Sus scrofa: one gene and its partners. The protein of the gene in region 1 interacts with the protein of each later gene in a pairwise test. Links are inferred from orthologs where the notes say so. Each region holds a gene or a part of one and is shown on either strand. Other genes may lie near its edges. The genes, in order: TRIM37, PRC1, FAM107A, PNKP and FAM124B.

Region 1 (3,949 bases):
GTATAGTGCTATTTTTTTTTTAAAGTACACTTTGAGTTTAGACAGCTGACTTATAAATGACTTTTCAGAACCATGTGTCATTATAATTTGTGGACTGCACATATAAGTGGAAAATACCAGGAGCTCTGAGTTTGTTTTGAATTTTGGCCTTATAGCAAACTCATATAAATTTATATTTGTAGATTTATCATAATAGATTTAAGGCTTATCTTACTGTTTGAATTACTTTTCATGTGCTTTTAAGGTTTCAGGTTCGTTCACCAACTTTCTTTCAAAAATGCCGGGACCAGCATTGGTATATTACTCAGTTGGAAGCTGCACAGACTAGCTATATCCAACAAATAAATAACCTTAAAGAGGTAAGCAAAAAACATATATTTTAGGTTTACTGTTTTATATTGTCTACATTTGTAATTAGATTTTGGATATTATTGCTATTTTTGATTTTGTAGAATAATCCAGTTGTCTCATTCTTTTTTTTTTTCTTTTTTTTCTTTTTTGTTTTTGGGCACAGCCTCAGCATACAGAAGTTCCTGGGCCAGAGGGTGAATCTGAGCCGTATCTGTGACCTACGATGCCAGATCTTTAACCTACTGTGCCACAGCAGAAACACCTTAGTTGTCTTGTTCTTTATTCTTATAACCTTTTGAGTCTCCAATTCCAGACTGTCTGTTCAGTAGCCACGTATGGCCGTTTAGACTTAATCAAATTAAAATTTTAGTTCCTTTCTGTTCCGGCCATGTTTCAGGTATTGGGAACTGCAGATATAGACCATTTCCATCATTGTATAAAATTGTATGTACTATGCTGCTTTACTTTGAGGTAAACTTTTTCTCTCAGTGACGTGGGTATTTCTCTTCGCCATGCTGTCTCAAATTGAGAGGATTCTAAGCTATAGAACAATTGAAAATTGCCCCATATTCAGTTCTCAGTATTGTTGAATTGAGTGCTGGGGATGATCACTTAATGACTTGTTTGTTTGTTGTTTGTTTGTTTGGCTTGTTAGGGCCACCCTTGCATATGGAAGTTCCCAGGCTGGGGGTTGAATTGGAACTACAGCTGCCAGCCCATAGCACAGCACATCTGTGTCTGCAACCTACATCACAGCTCATGACAATACCAGATCCCCCCACTGGCAAGGCCAGAGATTGAACCTGCATCTTCATGGATACTAGTCGGATTTGTTTCCACTGCACCACAGCAAGAACTCCCTGACTTTTTATTTTACAATGGTAAACTAAATTGCATAAGGAATATTTCTTCCTACCAATGGATATTGGAATTGGATGAGGATTTTGAAGGGTTGAGGTGGTTAATACATGAGGAAGGAAAAATTTCATATTAAGTGTACTATTACCAGAAATTTTCATGTTAAGAATACTATTTAAAACTGCCTTATTTATTCCACAGTTTGCTAATTGTGTATATAGCTTGGGCTAGAAAAGAAAAGATGAGAATACATTGTGCAATTTTTCTTTGTCATAGATTTTTCCATAAGCAAAAGTCAGAAAGATATGAGATGGTTCAAGAAATGGTTTTGGAGTTCTCATTGTAGACCAGCAGGTTAAGGACCTGACATAGTCTCTGTGAGGATTCAGGTTCAATCCCTGGTCTTGCTCAGTGGGTTGGGGATCTGGTGTTGCTGCAAGGTGTGGTGTAGGTGCAGCTGAACTTTGATAAGCCACAGATGCAGCCATAATGAGAGAAAAACAATGGTTTTATGACCATTTGGATACATGTAGTTATTTTCATTTGAAATAATTTACTGTACTAGTGAAGCACTGCTTAATACTCACATTTGTATAATTCTTGTTTTAATAGAGACTTACTATTGAGTTGTCTCGAACTCAGAAATCGAGAGATTTGTCACCACCAGATAATCATCTTAGTCCCCAAAATGATGAAACTCCTGAGACACGAGCTAAGAAGTCTGGATCATGTGCTGACATGCTTCTCCAGGATTGTTCTACTACAGCTTCTGTAAGAGAGGTCAAAGAGGATGAAGAAGATGAGGAGAAGATTCAAAATGAAGATTATCATGTAATAATTAGACCCGTTCTAGATTTGTTTTATGTTTGAAAAGAAAAATGATACAGTGATTTCTAACATAGACTATAGGGGGAATCAATGTGCTGAAAATCTTGTTCATTTATATTTTCATTGTTAGTGTATACCCTCTGTAAGTCAGAAGTTGTAGAATCAAAAGTGTTTCTAGATTCCAATAATTTATAGAAAACTGTATATTCTACAAAACAAACTTTGGTGTATATTCTAGAAACTGTACAAATTGTGGCTTTTAAAAAGATGTCCAGTTTCCATTCATTGAATCTAAAAGCACCTTGTCATTGCATATGTAGGTAGAATGATTTAGGATTTGGGAGATAGCCAGATTTTGTTCCAGCTAAACAGCTAGAATGAGAATTCAGAAAGTGGTTGTTACTGTTTAAGGTAAGAGGGTGATGGAGAAATAAGCCTTTTTTGTTACAGCTGTTATTTGTAAGATGGGAGGCTTGGGGTATATGTTAGGAGCCATGAGGGAGAGAGATTGAAGATGAGTTCCAGGGTTTTGATAAAACAAAGTGTTTAAGGAGATAATAGAGGTTTGAATGGAGCACTCAGGTGAAGCAGTTAACCTTTAATAGAGTTAAAAGAACGGAGGAGTTTGCAGCTAGAGCAGCTAAAAGTCGGGGGCATTTGTGCTTAATAGCCAATATATTTTTCTGAGTAGATAGGTGATGGGGTTTTATAATTACCTGGAGGATTATAAAGGTTAGGCAGCCTTGAGGAGTGGTGGTTTGAAATGTTACTCTTTGAAGAGCCTTACTGGAAGCTGATATGGACGGTATGAAACATTTCCATTCACATCGAGGGCCCAGCTGAAACTGGCAGAAGTTAATTACTAGTGGTTACTAGGCAATGTGGTTGAGTGATTTATCTCTGCAGGGCTCAGCAATCCAGGCACAGGAGCAGAGTTTCTGATGATTATATTATTCTTTGGTGCTTGGTCCATGGGCTGGCTGGGACAAACTGAGTGAAAACATTTGAAATAGAAATCTTGTTTCTGGAGTTTCCGTTGTGGCACAGTGGTTAACGAATCCAACTAGGAACCATGAGGTTGCGGGTTCGGTCCTTGCCCTTGCTCAGTGGGTTAACGATCTGGCATTGCCATGAGCGGTGGTGTAGGTTGCAGACGCGGCTCGGATCCTGTGTTGCTGTGGCTTTGGTGTAGGCCAGAGGCTACAGCTCCCATCTGACCCCTAGCCTGGGAACCTCCATATGCCACGGGAGTGGCCCAAGAAATAGCAAAAAGACAAAAGAAAAGAAAAGAAAGAAATCTTGTTTCTTTGCCTTAACCTAGCATGAGCTTTCGGATGGAGATCTGGATCTGGATCTTGTTGGTGAAGATGAAGTAAATCACCTTGATGGCAGCAGTTCCTCTGCCAGTTCCACAGCAACAAGTAACACAGAAGAAAATGATATTGATGAAGAAACTATGTGAGTGTCTTACATTTACTACTGCTATAAATCATCTAAGTGGGAATTATTAGAAGCATATTAATTAAGTTGGGCTTAAAAGTGAGGATATTGAGGTTTTTTGATCAACACTATCTTACCTAAACAAACGAACTTGAAGGAAAGAGTGAATTAGTTTCTTTCCTCTCATCTCTGAGTTCCAAACCGAGTTACAGTTTTAACTTTTTTTTGGCTGCATCCACGGCATAGGGAAGTTCCCAGGCCAGGGATTGAACCCAAGCCAATGCAGCAACAGTGCTGGATCCTTAACCTGCTCCACCACAAGGAAATTCCTAGTTTTAACTTTTAATTTTGTAGTTATTTCATATTTAAGAAAAGTTGGAAAATTATAACAGACAATTCCTATACTTCCTTTGCCCAGATTAATTCCCTAAATGTTAATGTTTTGCTTTGTTATATTTCTCTCTTTTTTCTC
Region 2 (3,949 bases), on another chromosome or scaffold:
GTTCTTAACCCACTGAGCCACAGTGGGCACTCCCTGTCTTACTTTCTAGATTAAAAAAGAAACAGTAGTTTTCAAGCATCCCAGTATTTGATCTTTCATAGATCTGGGAGGGTTCACATGTCACTCCCTTGCCTTAGAAAGCCACCATTTCTCACTTTACTAAGAGTGGAAAGGAATGCAGAGCTCTCAGGTCTCTTTAAAAATATGTATCCATTTCTGAGAGTGAGGATTTTTTTTTTTTAATTTGTTTTTGGTCTTTTTAGGGTCACACCTAAGGCATATGGAGGTTCACAGGCCGGGGGGGGGCGTGAATCGGAGCTATAGCTACTGGCCTATGCCACAGCTACAACAATGCGGGATCCAAGGTGCATCTGTGACCTATACCACAGCTCACAGCAACGCTAGCTCCCTAACCCACTGAGTAAGGCCAGGGATTGAACCTGTTTCCTTGTGGATGCTAGTCAGATTTGTTTCTGCTGAGCCATGTGGGGAACTCCAATAGTGAGGATTCTTAGCAGAAGTGACTAGTCTGTCTGGGATTTACTCTAATTAAAATGTATTTTTCACAGAGAAAAGTTTCAGATCCAAGTCGATTTAGAAATCGTGGAGGAAATCTTCTAAAAGAAGAAAAGCAGCGGGCCAAGCTCCAAAAAACACTCCCAAAGGTAATATTGTTGCTAAAACAGTTTTTGGTGCTTGGATACAGAATATCTCACTTTTTGTCTATCCTTTGCATTGAATCATTTTGCTCCCTGTCTCCTCTTCCAAAGCTTAGGCTGGGATAATAACTATATATTGGGCCCTCCTAGTATAAGTAACCTGTTCTCAAGTTTCATTAGCTTTTCAGGGTTACCATATCAAAGTACTAGAGACTAGGTGGCTTTAACAACAGAAATGTATTTTCTCACCATTCTGGAGGCTAGAGGTCTGAGGTCAAGGTGTCAGCAGGGTCAGTTTCATCTGAGGCCTCTCTCTTGGCTGTAGCTAGTTGTCTTCTCCCTGTATCTTCACGTGATTTCCTTCTGTATGTGTCTCTGTCCAAATTTTCTTTTCTCATAACAGCCACTAGTCATGTTGGATTAGGACTCACCCTGAGGACCTCATTTTCACTTAATTACCTCCATGTCCAAACAAAGCCACATTCTGAGATGTTGGGGATTAGGACTCCAAATATGAGTTAATATGAATTTGGCAAGGGATATAATTCAGCCTATAACACAAAGTAACCTTTTGAGAAAATGTTTGGACTTCATTACTATGTTTTATTTAATTTTTTGCGGGGGGGGCCATCCCACAGCATATGGAGTTTTCAGACCAGGGATCCGATCAGAGCCACAGTTGTGACCTACACCACAGCTGTGGCAACTCTGGATCCTTAACCCACTGTGCCAGGCTGGGGATCAAACCTGCATCCCAGTGTGGCAGGGACGCCGCTGATGCTGCTGCGCTACAGCAGGAGCTCCACTGTTCTCTATTTTAATGATAATAATAGTTAGCATTTATTGAATGAATAGTTACTATTTCAAAGTACTTTCTTTCTTTTCTTTTCTTTTTTTTTTTTTTTTTTTTTTGTCTTTTCTAGGGCTGTACCCGTGGCATATGGAGGTTCCCAGGCTAGGGGTCTAATCAGAGTTGTAGCCGCTGGCCTACGCCACAGTCGCAGCAACGTGGGATCTGAGCTTCATCTGCAACCTACACCACAGCTCAAGGCAACGCCAGATCCTTAACCCATTGAGTGAGGCCAGGAATCGAACCTGCAACCTCATGGTTCCTAGTCAGATTCGTTAACCACTGAGCCACTATGGGAACTCCAGTACTTTCCATTTATTAATTTATTTAATCATCACAACATCTTTATGAGATTGAGATTGTTATTTCCAATTTTATAGATGAGGAAACTGAGGCACTGAGAACTTAAGTAACTTGCCCACCTTTTCATAGCCAGTAAGAGGTAGATTCCAGATTTGGAGCCCAGAGAGTGCTATTCTTAGTGTACACTGCCTACGTAACGTTGCCGGTCTCCCCCAGTGCCACCTCCAACTTCAGGCTCCAGAACTTCGTGGTCAGGCTCTGGGTTCTTAACTTTTCTGATCTTCAGGTGTATTATGAATGGACTAACCTAAGACTTTGATTTCTGGCCACTCCAACCTATTCCCATGTGGGTGCAGCTCCTGAAGCCAGGCTAATGATACTCTGGAGAGGGAGAATCATTTCTTTCTGGGCTTCACACCAAAGATTTGAAGTAATTAGTATGTCCTTGTTTCTGGTCTCAGCTGGAAGAAGAGTTGAAAACACAAATTGAAATGTGGGAACAGGAGCATGCAAAGGCATTTGTGGTGAATGGACAAAACTTCATGGAGTATGTAACAGAACAGTGGGAGCTGCATCGATTGGAGAAAGAGAAAGCCAAGCAGGAGAGAGTAAGTGAATCCTATTTGGGAAGAGGGAAGATAGTCATGTGTGAGCAGTCAAGTTGCTGCCAGGGCCTTGGGTTGGCTGCAGAAGTGGTAGCTCATGGCAGCTCTTTTTAGCTGTGGGTATAGAGATTTGCATGAGATTTCTGGCCCTGCCTCTCCTATCCCAGACTGTTTTCCTGCTGGGATTTATCACTGTTGCTTCTGACTTTCACACAGCAACTGAAGAACAAGAAGCAAACAGAGACAGAGATGCTGTACGGCAGCACTCCCCGGACACCCAGCAAGCGGCGAGGACTGGCACCCAGTACTCCGGGCAAAGTGCGCAAGGTAAACACGAGGCTTTGTGAACTGCAGTGTACAAGGCGTTTCTTTGTGAGGCTGGGGCTCTTGGCCATCTCTTTCCTTCTGTCGTGCAGAGATGGGAAAGGCTTTTTCTAGCCTTCCAGGTGGAGTCCATATGCGTGTGTGAGTGGAAGACAAGTTTAATCCTGAGTGGCAACTTGACACTTGACAGTCAAGGAGTAGAGCTAGTTTTGATGTGTGGCAGATGTGTGAAAGAAGACTTTCATGCTTAGCAAATGGAATACCTAATACTCCTTAGTCTCTAAAGCAGGAAAGCAGGGAGTTCTTCCTTCCTTCCTCCTTTCCTTTTTTTCTAAACCTTTTCTTTGATAAATGAAGTGTAGCATTATTTTCCTTTTCCTTTTCCTTCCTTAACTCATACTTTATAAACATATAGAATATTTTTAAAAAAATCACCTGTAATGTAACTCCAAGAGAACCAGTGAGAATATTTGGTGTTTTTCCTGCTTTTGTAAAAAGCTTTTCAAAATAGTGTATTTTTACAAAATACAGATCACATATAATTTTGATTTCTCCTTTTTCCCTACTTGATATTGGTTGTGACTTTTTTTTTCATAGCATCAAACTTTCTTCAAATACATGCTCATTATTAACTATATATTCTGTTCTTTTTTTATTACTCAATGAATTTATCACATCTGTAGTTCTATAATGATCCATCACAATCCAATTTCACAGGATTTCCATCTCGCAACCGAAGCACATTCCCCTACCCCCCAATATATTCTATTCTTTTGACATACTCTCATTTATTAAACTAGATCCCTATAGTTTGATATTAAGTAGTTTATTTTTTATTAGGAAAGTAATAATATGTTTGTTTTTTTTTTTTTTTAGGGCCACACTCGAGGCATATGGAAGTTTCCAGGCTAGGGGCTCAAATGAGGAAATTTTAAACATAAAATTCAATTCTAAAAAGGTTTGTTTACATTAAAAGTTTGAGAATCTCTTTATTAGACTCTGAGAATACAAAGATTAAGTGAGATGGCTTGATCTTAAGAGTGCTGCATTTAAACTTTTCTAAGTCCTGACTGCACTAATCATTCAGTCTGTGATACCAAAGTGATTATAAGAATTTATGCTTCTAGGAGTTCCCATTGTGGCTCAGAAATAATGAACCTGACTAGTATCCATGAAGATGAGGGTTTGATCCCTGGCCTGATTCAATA
Region 3 (4,727 bases), on another chromosome or scaffold:
TTGCGACACATGGAGGTTCCCAGGCGAGGGGTCAGATCGGAGCTGTAGCTGCTGACCTATGCCACAGCCATAGCAACACAGGATCCGAGCTGCCTCTGCAACCTACACCACAGCTCACAGCAACACCAGATCCCCGAGCCCCTGAGCGAGGCCAGGGATCGAACCTGCAGCTTCATAGATACTTGTCAGATCGTTTCTGCTGCGCCACAATGGGAACTCCATCCACCAATATTTATTGAATGACAGCAATGTGCCCAGCACTACTTGAGTCACAGGGGGTAAACTGATGAACAAGACAGACTACGTCTCACTTTTGTGGGGCTGCCATTCCAAGTGGGGAAGCGCAATGATAAACACAGAAATAGTATCATCCCCGTTTCTGATAAGTGTGGTGACAAAACAACAGAGAACCCAGGAGGCTATTTTGCATAGAGAGTCAGGGAAGGCTTCTCTGAAGAGGTGAAACATGAGCCTGATGATAAAGAGGAAAGACTCATGCAAAGATCAAGAATGGAGTCAAGGGAGATAGGACAGATTTCAGGCAGAGAGAACAGCAAGTGCAAAAGTCCTGAGGTAAAGGGGGTGGTGGTATGGCCAGGAACTGTCAGGGAGAGAGGGATGTTGGGCCAAGGTCTGAGGGGAAAGAAAGGTTGGATAGATGAGACCTTGAGAACCATGGGGGATTCCATTCTATGGGCAAAATCAGATCTAGAACACCTAATATTTGCCTCTTCACCCCCAACTATCACTTCATAAATCATCAATTTGTGTCATAAACCATCACTGTGCCAGGCACTGTGCTGGAGGAAAGGGAAGGGTTTCCCCACCCACCCAGCTCTTGGGGAACAGCGTTGTGCTTAAACTAGTTTCCTGGGACTTGCCAATGGGCAGTGGGTTAATCACCAGTATCACAACCAACATAATAGCAGCACCTAAATTCTACGGGGAATCCTCTGCTCAGCTTTACATGAATGACCTCATTTCATCCTCACAGCCCCGTAGGCTGGGGCCGTTGTCATCCTGCTTTAGCCAAGAGGAAGATTATAAAACGGGGAATGACGTGATCAGATTTATGCTTTAACGAAACAAAGGCTTCAGCTGTACCCACCTTCCCTTTCAAACCTCACAGCAGCCCTGTGTGCTGATTATATGACCCCACACACACAAGAGGAAGGACCTAAGGCTCAGAGAGGTCAAATCATGGGAGGAATAGAGCTATGACTCCAGCTCAAGGTGACTCCGGCCTTAACCTTGCCCCACGCTGGCAACATAGAGAAGCAAGTGGGTGAAAGCAAGGAGGAGGCCGACTGCTGGGGGACGTTGAGAACTTGGCCCCGGGCCTGGAATCTGGCCTCCAGATATTTTCCTGGCCTGAGCCCAGACCAGCCACCCTCTGGCCCTCCCCGCCTGGACCGTTGCCCCGTGGAATGAAGTGTGCTGCTCTCTCTGTCTCTGTGCGGGGAGAACCCCGGGCCCGAGTGCCTTCTAAGATCTATTATTCATGGGGCCGAGCAGCCCTGGGCTTCATGGCCCCACACAAGCCCTCCGATCCCCATGCCGCGACAGCCCCACGCAGCCCCTTCTCTCTCATCTGGGGGCGAGAAGGTCAAGGCGCGCCCTCTGGACCTGCCAGGGGTCACTCGCGGCGCCTGAGCTGCCGACTGTGGCTGCGGGGTGAGAGGACGGTTTTGCTTCTCAATGACGCCGGCTGCCTCTGTCTCTCTTCCCCGAGAGGGGCAGGGGTGCAGGAAGCGAGGAGCTACAGGGACCCGGGGAGGGCATGTGGCTGCCTGGGGACACCGGGCCCCTCCGTCAGGATCAATCACCCTAAGCCTGTCTGAGGAGCTGCCGGCTTAAGAGCAGCTGTGAAAGCTGCCTTTGTGCCTGAGGAGAATGAGCCACGAGAGGACTGGGGACCCCGGGAACCCCTCGGACCTCGGCTCCTGAGATCAGCGCTGCAGAGAGGACTCCAGCCCGGCCCCCAGGGTCCAGCCAGGCTGGGTGTCCACGTCATACCATGGGAGCTGCCCAGGGGAAGAAGGTAGGAGCTCCCAAGGGTCCTGTGGGGGCCCTGGACACGGGAGGGGGCTGCATCTATCAGGTGGGAGTCCTCACACAGCACCCACCAGCTCCTTGGAGCCTCAGCCAGGCACTGCCCGCCCACCTCCCTCCCTGAGCTCACAGAAAAGATTTGCATCTAGAAACCTGGCTGGGGCTCAGGGCAAGGCCAGCCTCTGATCCTTCCATCTCTGAAACAGACTTCCTGGTCTTATACTCACACACCCCTTTACTGCCCTGCTACAGGCTCCCTAACCAACCCCTGCCACCACCACAAACAACCACCCCCAGCCTCGGTTCAGGTGGATGCAGAGTCAAGGAAAAAAACCAATGATCACTGTAATTAAGCTGGCTAACCAACTGTCACCAGGTGTGGTAAAGCTGTGGGCAAATGATTGATGCTCTCTGTGACTCATTTCGTCATCTGTGAAGTGGGGACAATAGTAATCCCTACCTTAGAGGCCGGCAGTGAGAATTTAAAGATGTGAAGTGTTTGACAGAGTGCCTGGCCCAGAGTGGGCTATATACAAGCTGTGATCTGTTGTTAGCAGGACTTTCATGTTATTTCTCATCACCTTCTCAGTCTGGGATCTCACTTGGGAAGGTTATAGCATAGTCAGTGCAGTATTCCTTGGAGTGTGGGAGGGGGCTTGTCAACAGTCACCTTCTCAGGCTGACATCAGAGTCTCTGAGGAGGGACTGGGATTCTGAGTCTATTCACCTGCTTTCAGGGGGCTCACAGCCCATACCGACCACAACTGTGATCCCAGCAGTGAGGTCAGGCTGCCCAGGTCCCAGCTCATCCACCTACTTACTGTGAGGAACTAAGCCTCTCTGGATCCCAGCTCATTTGTAAAGTGGAGCTGGTACCCATCTCGTGGGAGGTTCCATGAAACGTCGCCCTTCAAGCACTTATGATGCTGCCTGACAAGCAGAGAGCCTGATACCACAGAGGCTCTAATCCTCAAACAAGTCATGATGCGTTAAAGGCAGGGAACTGAGGCTCAGAGGCAAGACGTGATTTCTTAGCCAGGGTCATGCAGCTAGAGGAGAAAAGGGAAGGATTTTGATCCCCTTCTGCTTGACTCCAAACTTATGGCCAACCCAGCCCATCCTACATTTTTCAGATTTGGAGACAAACACATCATGGACCACAAGGAGGAAGCACTCCGGACTTCAATTTCCCCATTTGCAGAAATGGGAGTGTTAGGCTAGAGGACCCCTAAGGGCGTTCTAGTGCTGGCTTCTGCTTTCCACCTCCCTTGCTTCATATGCAGAGTCAGGCCTGGAAATTTCTGCCTCCCTTCAGCATCCCCAAAAACATCTCCCCCTGAAAACTTGATTATCCTGGGGCTGGCACTTCCCCCATGCAATGCTTACTCCTGCCTGCAGGGGTCAGTGTGGGTCAGCTGCAGTCAAGGCAGGTGGTGACCTGACACAGCCTTTGGGAGTCCCAAAGATGCCTTCCCAGCCAAGCCTTGAGCCCCGGCCCTAACCAATCCCCACTTTCAGGAGCACTGTTCCTGCTCCTTCTCTCTGCCAGAAGAGAATGAACTCAGCCTCTAGACCCTATCTGTGCTGACCATGAAGGTGGAGAGTCATCTTGGAGACCAGCTTCCCAAACCTAGAAAAGACCCTAACAAGGTCTAGCAAAATATACCTTGAGTACCACCTCCCTATTCTCTCACATGTGGCAGACATCACAAATTGATCCCTGCACATTTTCCCACTAAGTCTAGAGAGCCTCACTGTCCTCAATACAGCAAACCGGGACTCCCCTAACAGTCAGTCAGAATTAGCCCCCAGGTTGAAAGCCATGCTATCCATGGGCCCAGTCCCTTCCCACGCCTTCTGGGAAAAGCCCTCCCAGAGAGAAAGCAGCAGGGAACTGTGATAGGAACGGGAGCTTTAGAGTCAGCCAGATCTGAGTCAGTTCCTCCACATCCTCGTTACCTTGGGCAAGTCACCACACCTCTCTGAGTCTCATATTCTACTTCAATAAATGAAAGATAATAGGAGTTACCATTGTGGCTCAGTGGTAACACACCTGACTAGGATCCATGAGAACGCAGGTTTGATCCCTGGCCTCTCTCAGCAGGTTAAGGATCCAGCATTGCCATGAACTGTGGTGTAGATAGCAGACATGGCTTGGATCCCAAGTTGCTGTGGCTGTGGCATAAGCCAGCGGCTATAGCTCCAATTCAACCCCTAGCCTGGGAACCTCCATGTGCTGCAGGTGCAAAAAGACAACAAAAATAAAAAATAAACAAAAGATAATAATCCTCCTCAGATTGTTGTAAAACCTAAATGATAGCATGCCTGGGAAGAAATAGGCACATATGCAATATAGTCTCTTCCTGAAGTGGACCCTCTCTTAAGTGCATCCTCTTCTGAGCCTCACAAGTCTTCTTTTGAGCCAATGAGGGCATCCATATCACACCCAATGGCTGATGAAAAAGCTGAATCCCAACAGACATAACTTCCCCAGCTTCTCAGTGGTGAACCATCAAGGAGCAAAGGCTGTGAGCGAGCTAGGTCAGGCTCTCTCTGAGCGATCCTTCATCTGTGAACCACCCCCACCCAAAGCCCCATGTGCCCACCTCTCTTTCTCTTTCTGGAGGCAACAGCCCCACTGGCCTCTGGGTGATGTGTAACAGGCTTGCTGTGCA
Region 4 (4,656 bases), on another chromosome or scaffold:
ACTACACCCCCGCCCCGCCTCCGGGACCTGCCAATCCGAGTCAGAGCTATGACCGGCCTCCCACGGTCCCTGGCCCCAGGATTGACCCGTCCCTGGTCCCTGCGGATCCCCACCGCCCTTCCGGCCCCCAGCCGCTCCAGCGCCTGTCCAGTTTCCCGATTGGGTCTGTCTTCTCTCCGCCCAGCGACAGATTCTTTCTATTAAGGGATTGGCGTGGTCCGGCATCAGGGCGCGGCCAGTTGACTTAATAGGTCAACTCTGTCGTTTTCTGCCTAGCAACAAGGGCTTTGCTCTCACGGCATTGGCTCCGTTCCCGAAAGAGCACAGTCAAGCTGCAGGATTGGGTAGTAGCCCTCCACTTCGCATAGTGAATGGGCAGTTCCTTCGTTTGATTGGCTTGAACACTGTAAAGGGCTTGACCAACATCCCAAGAGTCCTGTCCACCCCGAGTTACCCCACCTGATTGGCTCCAGCCTCCTGGGGGCGTGGCCAATCCCCTTTGCCCAGGATTGGCCTGTGGCCTTACATTTACAGTCTTTACACTACTGGGGCTGGGGTCGTTTTTTGGCTCAGTCCTGACAATTGTCCCTCTGGCCCCCTCAAGGATGGCCTAATCCTGTTCCTGCGTCTGACACCCTCTCATTGGTTTTATCACAACTGCCTGCCAATCAAAACCCGTCCTTGTGTCCAGGACGTTACCAGCTCCCGCCCCTCTCCCCCCACCCCCACAGGTGCCTTAAAGGGCCCTCGTCCACCCAAGGTGGAGGGCAGGGGGCCTCACTCTCCGGCCCTGGTGTGGGGGAGAGAATGGGGGGTCGGGATCAGGAGTTGAGAGGGGCGCTCCGAGATTAAAGAGTTTTACCTCTGACAAATGACTATGAGGTGTGTTGTGTTATTCAACATTTTCTGAAGCCAAATGAGCAGTGTCTCATTGCTTCTCAGTGCAAAGCTGCGAATTAAACTAATTGTGCCTATTTTACAGACAAGATAATGGAGATTCGCGGGGTAGGAGGAAGGATTCCAGTCCTGTGTAGTCATTGATTCCCACTCTTCAGGAGTGTGAGTGTTGGGAATAGTTTAAGGAACTACAGTTCCTGAGTGCCCAGGAAAGCCAGGAACCTCCAGCTGACGCCAGGAGTTTTCTGACTATTCTAAGTCAGCTGGTGGTTACAGAGCAATGGCGCCAGACCTGAAGATGGGGCCAGGTCCAGTAAGCGTGGAATACCCATCTCCCATCAGACCACCATGGGTGGAATGTTAACAGACGAAACTTAAACCGAGCCAACTACCACCTAGAAACTTTTCTGAAGTATTTATATGTACTAACTCCTTTCATCTTTCTAGTAACCCTGCAACGTGGAAAGGATTATCCCCACTTTGCAGATGAGGAAACTGCAGCATGAGGGTAGGTGTGTGTTGGGGCAGGGTTTCTTCGACTGCCAATAGTCAACAAAGAGGAAGGATAACTTCCCGCTGTAACTGTCCAGCAAGGGGAATGAAAACGAGAGTTTAGCGTGGAAAGAGGAAAATCTGTGGAGACCCCCTTCCCCCTACTGGCCTGAGCCTCACCCTGCAGCAGGAGAGATGAAGGTCAGAGCCGCAGAGGGACTAGAGAGGCCCCGGGACCGCTAAGAGGCGGGGCTTACGTCATGGGCGGGACCAACGCCCCGCCCACTTTAGTAGGCGAGTCATTTCCGTCCGCGGAGAAACGGAGAAAGCTGCAAGGCGAGTTGCGGGCCAGGCGCCTCGGGCGGGATTTCCTTGGTTGGAAGTGGTGAGTGAGCCAAGCAGCGGGCAAGGGTGAGCAAAGGGTTGAGGCGGGAGTTCATGAGTTTCTCGGCCTTTGCCCTGGGAAGTAGGAGTCGGGGCTCTGGGAGGGACGAAGCGGGGAGTCGTCGCCTGGGAAACGGCGCGAGCCCCAAGCCGGAGAGCGGGTGGAATTTCCTGAGCCATTCGCGGAAGAAGAGAATTCCTGGTGGAGCGGCCGAGGAGGCGGGACTTCCTGTAGCAATCTGCGGGCTGCCACTCAAACCTATTTACCTACTTCCCTTTAGGCCGGCTTCCAGGATGGCCAAGGTGGAGGCCCGGGGCCGCCTGTGGCTGGAGAGCCCCCCTGGGGGAGCACCTCCCATCTTCCTGCCCTCCGACGGGCAAGCCCTGGTCCTGGGCCGGGGACCCTTGACTCTGGTTACCGACCGGAAATGCTCCCGAAACCAAGGTGGGCGAGGGCGGGGCCTGAGCCGGAGGGGGTGTGGCCTGCTTCAGAAGCGGGAACACAATCAATGGGAAAGACCGAGAGTTAGTCCGGGGAGGGATGTGCTTGGCCCCCAGGCCGAATCGCGTGGTGCAGCTAGTCCTGAAGTTGGCAAGTGCCCTCCGGGGAGCACAGAAGGGAAAGGTGGTGCCTGACCCCACCTGGAACTAGCCAGATAACTCGGGCTTGAATCCGGCCACCACCTTGTCCAGGAGAGAGCCGATCCTATGAAGAAAAATGCATATTGCTGAGCAGAGATGGGTGGTAGCAGGCCAAGCCCAGGACTTGCATCTCGTCAGGTTCCTGCGTTGTCAAGGAGAAACCAATGCTATACAGAAAAACACCTGCCTTGCCCCTAGGCGAGGACCGGTGTCACAGGCTATCCTAAGGCCATTATCTGGCTACTGCATATCGAGGAGTGAGCCAAACCTACTTAGAAATAAACCACCTCCTCCTGCTGAATGGGTGTTGTAGCCCCATCCTGTGGCCTGAAGCAGGCCACACTCCCCAGTAGGGAAGGAAACAATCACCGAAAGATTCAGATCCCAACTCCACCCCCTCAATCCTCAGTGGAGCTGGTTGCAGACCCTGAGACTCGGACCGTGGCAGTGAAACAGGTACCAGTTCGTTGGCAAGGGGCAGCAGGCCTGGGGGTGGGGCGGGGTGGGGGGGTCGAAGGGTAGGAACAGCTGGGGAAACTGGCCCATCGAGAAAATCTAACTGCCTGGGAGGGGAGGAGGTCTGGCCTCTTTCAGTGGGGTAAACTTTCATCCCCATTTAAATTGGGTAAGACTAGGAATTCCCCTTGTGGCTCAGGAGGGTAAGGATATGACGTCGTCTCTGTGGGGATGTGGGTTCCATCCCCGGCTGTAAAGGATCCAGCGTTATTGTAAACTACGGCCGTAACTCCGCAGATGAGACTGGGATCCGGCGTTGCTATGGCGCTGTGGCCTAGGCCTCCGCTATGGATTCCACTCCTTCCATGTGCCGCAGGTGTAGCAGTCAAAGAAAAAAAACAAAATTGGTTAGGACTGGATGCGTATTACCTTCCCAATGCCCTGATTGGCGGTACACAGTGAAGAGGTGGAGCTTAAGGGTCTGATTGGCTGATGGAGAAAGGAAGGCCTTTTTGAGGTTATTTGATTGGATGAGGTTACTGGTGGGGTGGAGCCTGTACCAGCACCTCCCTCTTTCTTTGCAGCTAGGAGTTAACCCCTCAACTGCTGGAGCCCAAGAGCTGAGGCCGGGGTTGGAGGGCTCTCTAGGGGTGGGGGACACGTTGTATTTGGTCAACGGCCTCCACCCGTTGACCCTGCGCTGGGAAGAGGCTCGCACTCCAGAATTGCAGCCAGACACTCCACCTGGCACGCCTCCTGTGCCCCCACACGAGGAGGAGGAAGAGGCTGAGCCGCCGAAAAAGCAGATGCGGAAGTCATCTCCTGGCTGGGAGAGCTTTGAGAAGCTACTAGTATTCACAGCACCTGGTGTGAAGCCGCGGGGCAAGGTGAGGCCCGAGCTGAGGATTGCGGGGTTCATTGTCAGCATTGGGAAAATCGATGCATGTCAGCTCCTGCCCCACCCACAGTAACCACCCAGTAACCATAGCCATTGGTCATGATCATGTTGGCGGGAGTTATGATGAGTATTTCTTAGGTCAGAGAGGCGAGTTCAAATGCTGTTACACTGGAGTTCCCGTTGTGGCTCTGCGGGTTAAGGACCCATCCGTTGTCTCTGTGAGGATGAATGTCCAATCCCTGGTCTTCCTCGGTGGGTTAAAGATCTAGCATTGCCACAAGCAGTGGCATAGGTCCCAGATGTGGCTCCGTTCCTGAGTTGCTGTGCCTGTGGCGTAGGCCGGCAGCTGTAGCTCCAGTTCAATCCCTAGCCCAAGAATTTCCATATGCTGCAGGTGCAGCCCTAACAACAACAAAAAAAAGGCTGTTACACCATGTTCTTTGAGCCCCACTTCTCTCATCATACGAGGAATCCACAAAAAGCAGTCCCTGATGTGCACTAACCGCCAAAACAAAACTTAGCTCCTGGTTTTATTTCATGGTTATTAGCCCATTAGCCCTCCGCGGTGGAAAAGGTCAGGGGGGGAGGCTGGGTCAGATTTAAAGCCCCCCCCCTTTTGGCTTTTTAGGGCCGCACCCACGGCATATGGAGGTTCCCAGGCCAGGGGTCGAATCAGAGCTGTAGCCGCTGGCCTACGCCACAGCTACTCGGGATCTGAGCTGCATCTGCGACCTACACCACAGCTCACGGCTCCTTAATCCACTGAGCAAGGCCAGGGATCGAACCTGTGTCCTCATGGATGCTAGTCAGATTTGCGCTGAGCCACGACGGGGACTCCTGAAGCCCATTTTAAAGATGGAAACAATGAGAGGCTGAGAGGAATAGGA
Region 5 (4,676 bases), on another chromosome or scaffold:
GTGTAAGACTTATGAAACGCAAGTGATTACAAGTGTAGGCTGGATTTAGAAGAGATTGGACTAGAAATGACTCCCTTCCACGGATAACAATATTTGATGCTAAATTTAGTTCTTATACTACTTCTTTTTGATCATTTTTTTAGGGCCACACTGCAGCATATGGAGGTTCCCAGGCTAGGGGTCTAATCAGAGCTACAGCTACCAGCTTATACCACAGCCACAGCAACTCAGGATCCGAGCCGCATCTTCAACCTACACTGCACCTCATGACAACGCAGGATCCTTAACCTACTAAGCGAGGCCAGGGATTGAACCCATGTCCGCATGGATACTTAGGGTTTGTTACCACTGAGCCCCAGTGGGAACTCCTGATTCTTTTACTATTAGGGCAATAAACATATATAAAATAAAGTTAGGGAGTTTCCCTTGTGGCTCAGCAGGTTAAGGACCTGACGTTGTCTCTGTGAGGATGCAGGTTTAATTCCTGACCTTGCTCGGTGGCTTAAGGATCAGGTATGGCTGCAAGCTGTGGCATAGTTCACAGATGTGGCTCAGCTCTGGCGCTGCTGTGGCTGTAGCGTAGGACAGCAGCTGCAGCTCTGATTCAAACCCTAGCCTAGGAAATTCCTCATGCTGTGGGTGCCACCATAAAAAGAAAAAAAATGAGTAAGTTATATTTCTCATCCCAAAAGTGCCTTTTAATTTATAAAAAGTAAAGTTACACCATGTTTCATGATAAGCATCAATAAACTGCTTATTTTAAGAATTACATTTGGAAAAATGTGCTTGTCTACATTTTTAGAAGCACAGCTATCAAAATAGCAAATGATTTTTAAATGGATATTTACAGCCCATTAGGGTGAGTGTTATGTTTAGAGCTTGGATATTCTTACTGGAGATTATTCAGTTAAGATTCAGCAGCAACACAGAATTCTGGGAAATGTGTGTCCTTAGCTAGAACTTGCCTGGGCATCTTTTCGTTATGCTAAGGATGCCCAGTCCAGGACATCTGGGTCCCAGAGAGGTACCTCCTCTCTGGTTCACGGGGGAGTGGGGGGGGGTCACTCAGTTCCTGGGTTCGATCTTTCCTTGGTCACTTCTTAGCTGTGACATCTTGGGCAAATTATTTGGCTTTTCTATGCCTCAGTTTCTTCCTCAGTAATTGGGGGATCATCGTTTTGCTGGAGGACTAAATCAGTTTATGTAAAGCTCTAGAGCAGTTTATGATCCATACGTAGTAAATCCTCAATGGACATGAGCAATGATTGTTATTGACATTGGAAAGCTCTCACTCTAAAGAATGGGTGTGAACAAATGTCTGTTGTGCAGAGTAAATTATTTTCAGACTTCGCAGCAGAGTAAATTGTTTTCAGTTAAACGGTCAAAATTACTGAGGTAAAACAGCTTCTCTCCAACGCCCTGGCATCAATTGTTCAAGCATCAAATAAAAAAAACAAAGGGTGAAAAAATCCTGGCAAGGGGACAAGTTTTGAGAATTGTTTTCAAGCAGTCATTGTGTTCAGGTGGCCTGGAGGCTACTGTAAACACGGGGACGTAGGGAGGAAATCAGAATCCATTGTGGGTCCATGAAGTGGATGTCTTTCCAACCAACCAGATTGCTATCAGCCTCACAGAGCCGACTGTGTTCCTTTCTGCCTGGTCATTTCCTTTACTGAGCGTCTGTAAGAACCACCCATCCCCGGTGTTTCTCAGGATTATAGGTTTTTAGGTCAAACAGAAACCCTGGGAGCGCCCGAAAGAGCCCCGCACACGCAGTTACATTATCCACCTGCTGGATGACACTGACCCCGCTACTGCGGTGTGTCGGGGAGGCTGCTGTGCCTGAAATTTGTGGGGATTCTCTCAGTGTGGCTGGAGGCAACCAGCAGCACAGGGTAAGGGCTGGGCTCTGAAGTCCTGAAGCTTTCCCTGTGGGCAGAAGGCTGCGCTGGGAACCGCCCGCCCCTCCGTTCCTTTCAGAAGCTGGACCAGCGTGCCCTCCCCGCTGGCATCCTTTGTCATCCTTGGAGTCCACGATGGAAGAAACACGGGAGCCTCTGGCCATGACTGTCCACCTCCTTGCCAACTCTGGGCATGGCTCACTTCTGCAGCAAACCCTGGACCAACTCCTGGACTGCATTTGCCCAGAGGTCCGTCTCTTTCTGGTGTCCGAGCGGGTCAGTCCGGTGAAATACTATGACAAGTGCCACTCCAGGCGGTCACGATTCCCGGGGATGTCTGTTTTGCTCTTCCTGCATGAGAGCCTCGGGGAGGAGCGGCTATTTCGCGTTCTGGACTCCCTCCAGCATTGGCCATGGCAGTGCTACCCTGCCCAGAACGTGCAGGGAAGACCGTGCCCCTACATTCTCGCCAGCCAGGAATTCTACAGTCTGGACCACCAGATGCCCGTCTGGGGAGTGAGGCAGGTGCACGGTGACACCGAGATCCTGAGAGTGACGCTCTATTGCAGCTTTGATAACTACGAGGATGCCATCCGGCTGTATGAGATGATCCTGCAGAGGGAAGCCACCTTGCAGAAGAGTGACTTCTGTTTCTTTGTGCTCTACGCCACCGAGAGCTTTACTCTGCAGCTCTCCCTGAAGCAGCTGCCCCTCGGAATGGCGGTGGACCCCAAAGAGGCTTCGGTGTTGCAGTTCAAGGTTCAAGAGATTGGCCAGTTAGTGCCTCTCCTGCCCCATCCTTGTGTCCCCATCAGCCGCACCCGCTGGCAAACACAGGACTATGATGGCAACAAGATTCTACTTCAGGTATTTCTGTCTGGCCTCTCTGACTTCTAGATACACGTGGAACGGTGATTTCCCATGGGAGAGATGGTGTAATGTCCTGGTTCTCACGTGCTTCTCAACTTTGGTTGCACATCAGAATTTCTGGGTCGTTTTCAAATATTCCTGGGCAATGGCTGCACCCCAGGTCCATTAGATTAGACTCTTTGGGGGTATTTCTCAAAAAGCTCCTTGGATAGTTCTAATATACAGGTTGTAGCATGGTTGAGAGTCACTGATTTAATTAAACCTCATCTGACAGATCAGGAAGTTCAGATTCTGTGAGCTGGTAGCTTACACAAGTAGTTTGGAATAGAATCAGACAATACTCTCTTTGTCAGATTTTCCTTTAGTCATACTCCTCAACTATACGCAAATACTGTGTGCACTCTTTGGGTTCAGAAATATCTTGAGTTTTTTCCATTTGGACCTAAAGACGTTGAAGTTGTAATTATGGTTGGGGATATTAAGTATGCAGTCCTGTTGACTTAATTTTTAAGCATCCTGCATCACTGTCCAATTTTACCCCTAATCAAATTAGTTGGTTAGAAGCTTTCAAAAGAAAATTTTGAAATGAAAGCATCCTATTGAACGCAAACGCAGTCATGAGATCTACCAGGAGTCTTTTCTTACAATGTATCACATGGCAGTTGAGCCTTGCCATTTAGTAGCTGCTTTGATTTGAAGACTTGGTTTTTTCATTAGCACAATGAGAGTAATATTAGCATCTTCCTAGAATATAGATTGTTATCTACATTAAATGTTTTAACACTTATGAAGGGTTTAAGATAAGGCCTAGAATGCACTCTGAGATTTTACTGCTTGTATTATGTCCCAGGCTAAGTATTTCACATTGATTATTTTATTTAGTCCTTCTTATAACCTAGGAAGTTTTGCAGAAGGGGAAACTAAGGGAAAACTGGGGTAACAAGATCAGTTATTTATCTCAGACACAAGAGGAAATGTTTACCTGATTCCAAAGCCAGGTAGGTGACCACTGCAGTCTAGTGGTGTGTGTGTGTGTGTGTGTGTGTGTGTGTGTGTGTGTGTGTGCGCGCGCGTGTGCACACACGCACAGGCAGAGAGGTGTATGTGATAGTCACAGCAAAATTTCTGTGGCTTCCCACCTTGAGAAATGGCTAGAAACCCCTTTAAGGCCTTTTGGATAAAGTAAAAACAGGCAAAAGATGAATTATCTTTCCTTTAGATTAATTTTGTTGTCATCAGCTTTGAGCTATTAATAAAATATGAGTCATTTTGATTCTATATGAAATGATCTCTAAATTATTTACCTTCTTATTCACTTAAGGCAGACAGGCACTGTTTCTGTTAGTTGCCTGTTACATAACTCACTAATTTCCAAGGCATCTAGAGTTTTTCCTTCAGCCTTAATCTCCAGAATTTAAACCTCACTGTCAAGCAAAAATTTAATATGTGTGTGCAGCAGGGGATGCATTTTTAATCCTTTATGTTTTAAAAACTAACTGACATTTTCACTTCTGAACCACAGCTTACACAGCTTAATTACTTTGGGAAGTTAAGTCAAATCTGGGGTGTGCAGTATAGTTTTTGTTTTGTTTTTTTTTGAAAAAAAATGTCAATGTGTCTAGGATTTGCAAACAAAACGGGGGATTACCTTCTGGAAACTTCTGTTTCTGGTGTCATTAAAAAATCCCTGAAGAAAGCATATATAAAGGCCTGCCTATAATATAGCATGAAAGGCAACACATTGTAGCTACTTCAATCCTACAGTGGGGTGAATTTTTCAGCATAGAAAATCCAGCCCAAACTTCTTTAGAGGGGAGAGAGGATGGGGGTAAATGTATGGACTTTTGTAAGTTAAGCAGCCTGGGTCTTAAGCAGTAGGCCTAGGATCCAGTTCTCAGCTCTACC

Evidence for each region.
Region 2: the proteins of TRIM37 (region 1) and PRC1 interact in binary tests that used the Homo sapiens proteins (3 or more experiments, as listed by UniProt). The link is inferred for Sus scrofa from reciprocal best matches to the Homo sapiens genes TRIM37 and PRC1.
Region 3: the proteins of TRIM37 (region 1) and FAM107A interact in binary tests that used the Homo sapiens proteins (3 or more experiments, as listed by UniProt). The two-hybrid records come from large-scale screens. The link is inferred for Sus scrofa from reciprocal best matches to the Homo sapiens genes TRIM37 and FAM107A.
Region 4: the proteins of TRIM37 (region 1) and PNKP interact in binary tests that used the Homo sapiens proteins (3 or more experiments, as listed by UniProt). The two-hybrid records come from large-scale screens. The link is inferred for Sus scrofa from reciprocal best matches to the Homo sapiens genes TRIM37 and PNKP.
Region 5: the proteins of TRIM37 (region 1) and FAM124B interact in a two-hybrid assay, tested with the Homo sapiens proteins (2 studies listed by BioGRID and IntAct). The link is inferred for Sus scrofa from reciprocal best matches to the Homo sapiens genes TRIM37 and FAM124B.

Annotation. Positions count from the first base shown.
Region 1 is NC_010454.4:35,323,665-35,327,613, reverse strand, and holds part of TRIM37 (E3 ubiquitin-protein ligase TRIM37), read left to right. Parts: intron 1-244; coding exon 245-359; intron 360-1,821; coding exon 1,822-2,040; intron 2,041-3,358; coding exon 3,359-3,495; intron 3,496-3,949. UniProt on the Homo sapiens protein: E3 ubiquitin-protein ligase required to prevent centriole reduplication. Probably acts by ubiquitinating positive regulators of centriole reduplication.
Region 2 is NC_010449.5:55,890,047-55,893,995, forward strand, and holds part of PRC1 (protein regulator of cytokinesis 1), read left to right. Parts: intron 1-569; coding exon 570-665; intron 666-2,273; coding exon 2,274-2,420; intron 2,421-2,633; coding exon 2,634-2,744; intron 2,745-3,949. UniProt on the Homo sapiens protein: Key regulator of cytokinesis that cross-links antiparrallel microtubules at an average distance of 35 nM. Essential for controlling the spatiotemporal formation of the midzone and successful cytokinesis.
Region 3 is NC_010455.5:40,366,722-40,371,448, reverse strand, and holds the start of FAM107A (protein FAM107A), read left to right. Parts: upstream 1-1,740; 5' UTR 1,741-2,017; coding exon 2,018-2,041; intron 2,042-4,727. UniProt on the Homo sapiens protein: Stress-inducible actin-binding protein that plays a role in synaptic and cognitive functions by modulating actin filamentous (F-actin) dynamics. Mediates polymerization of globular actin to F-actin. Also binds to, stabilizes and bundles F-actin.
Region 4 is NC_010448.4:54,877,801-54,882,456, reverse strand, and holds the start of PNKP (bifunctional polynucleotide phosphatase/kinase), read left to right. Parts: upstream 1-1,642; 5' UTR 1,643-1,649; coding exon 1,650-1,774; exon of another isoform or gene 1,775-1,800; intron 1,801-2,054; coding exon 2,055-2,218; intron 2,219-2,824; coding exon 2,825-2,871; intron 2,872-3,455; coding exon 3,456-3,758; intron 3,759-4,656. UniProt on the Homo sapiens protein: Plays a key role in the repair of DNA damage, functioning as part of both the non-homologous end-joining (NHEJ) and base excision repair (BER) pathways.
Region 5 is NC_010457.5:126,124,584-126,129,259, reverse strand, and holds the start of FAM124B (protein FAM124B), read left to right. Parts: upstream 1-1,601; 5' UTR 1,602-2,036; coding exon 2,037-2,768; intron 2,769-4,676.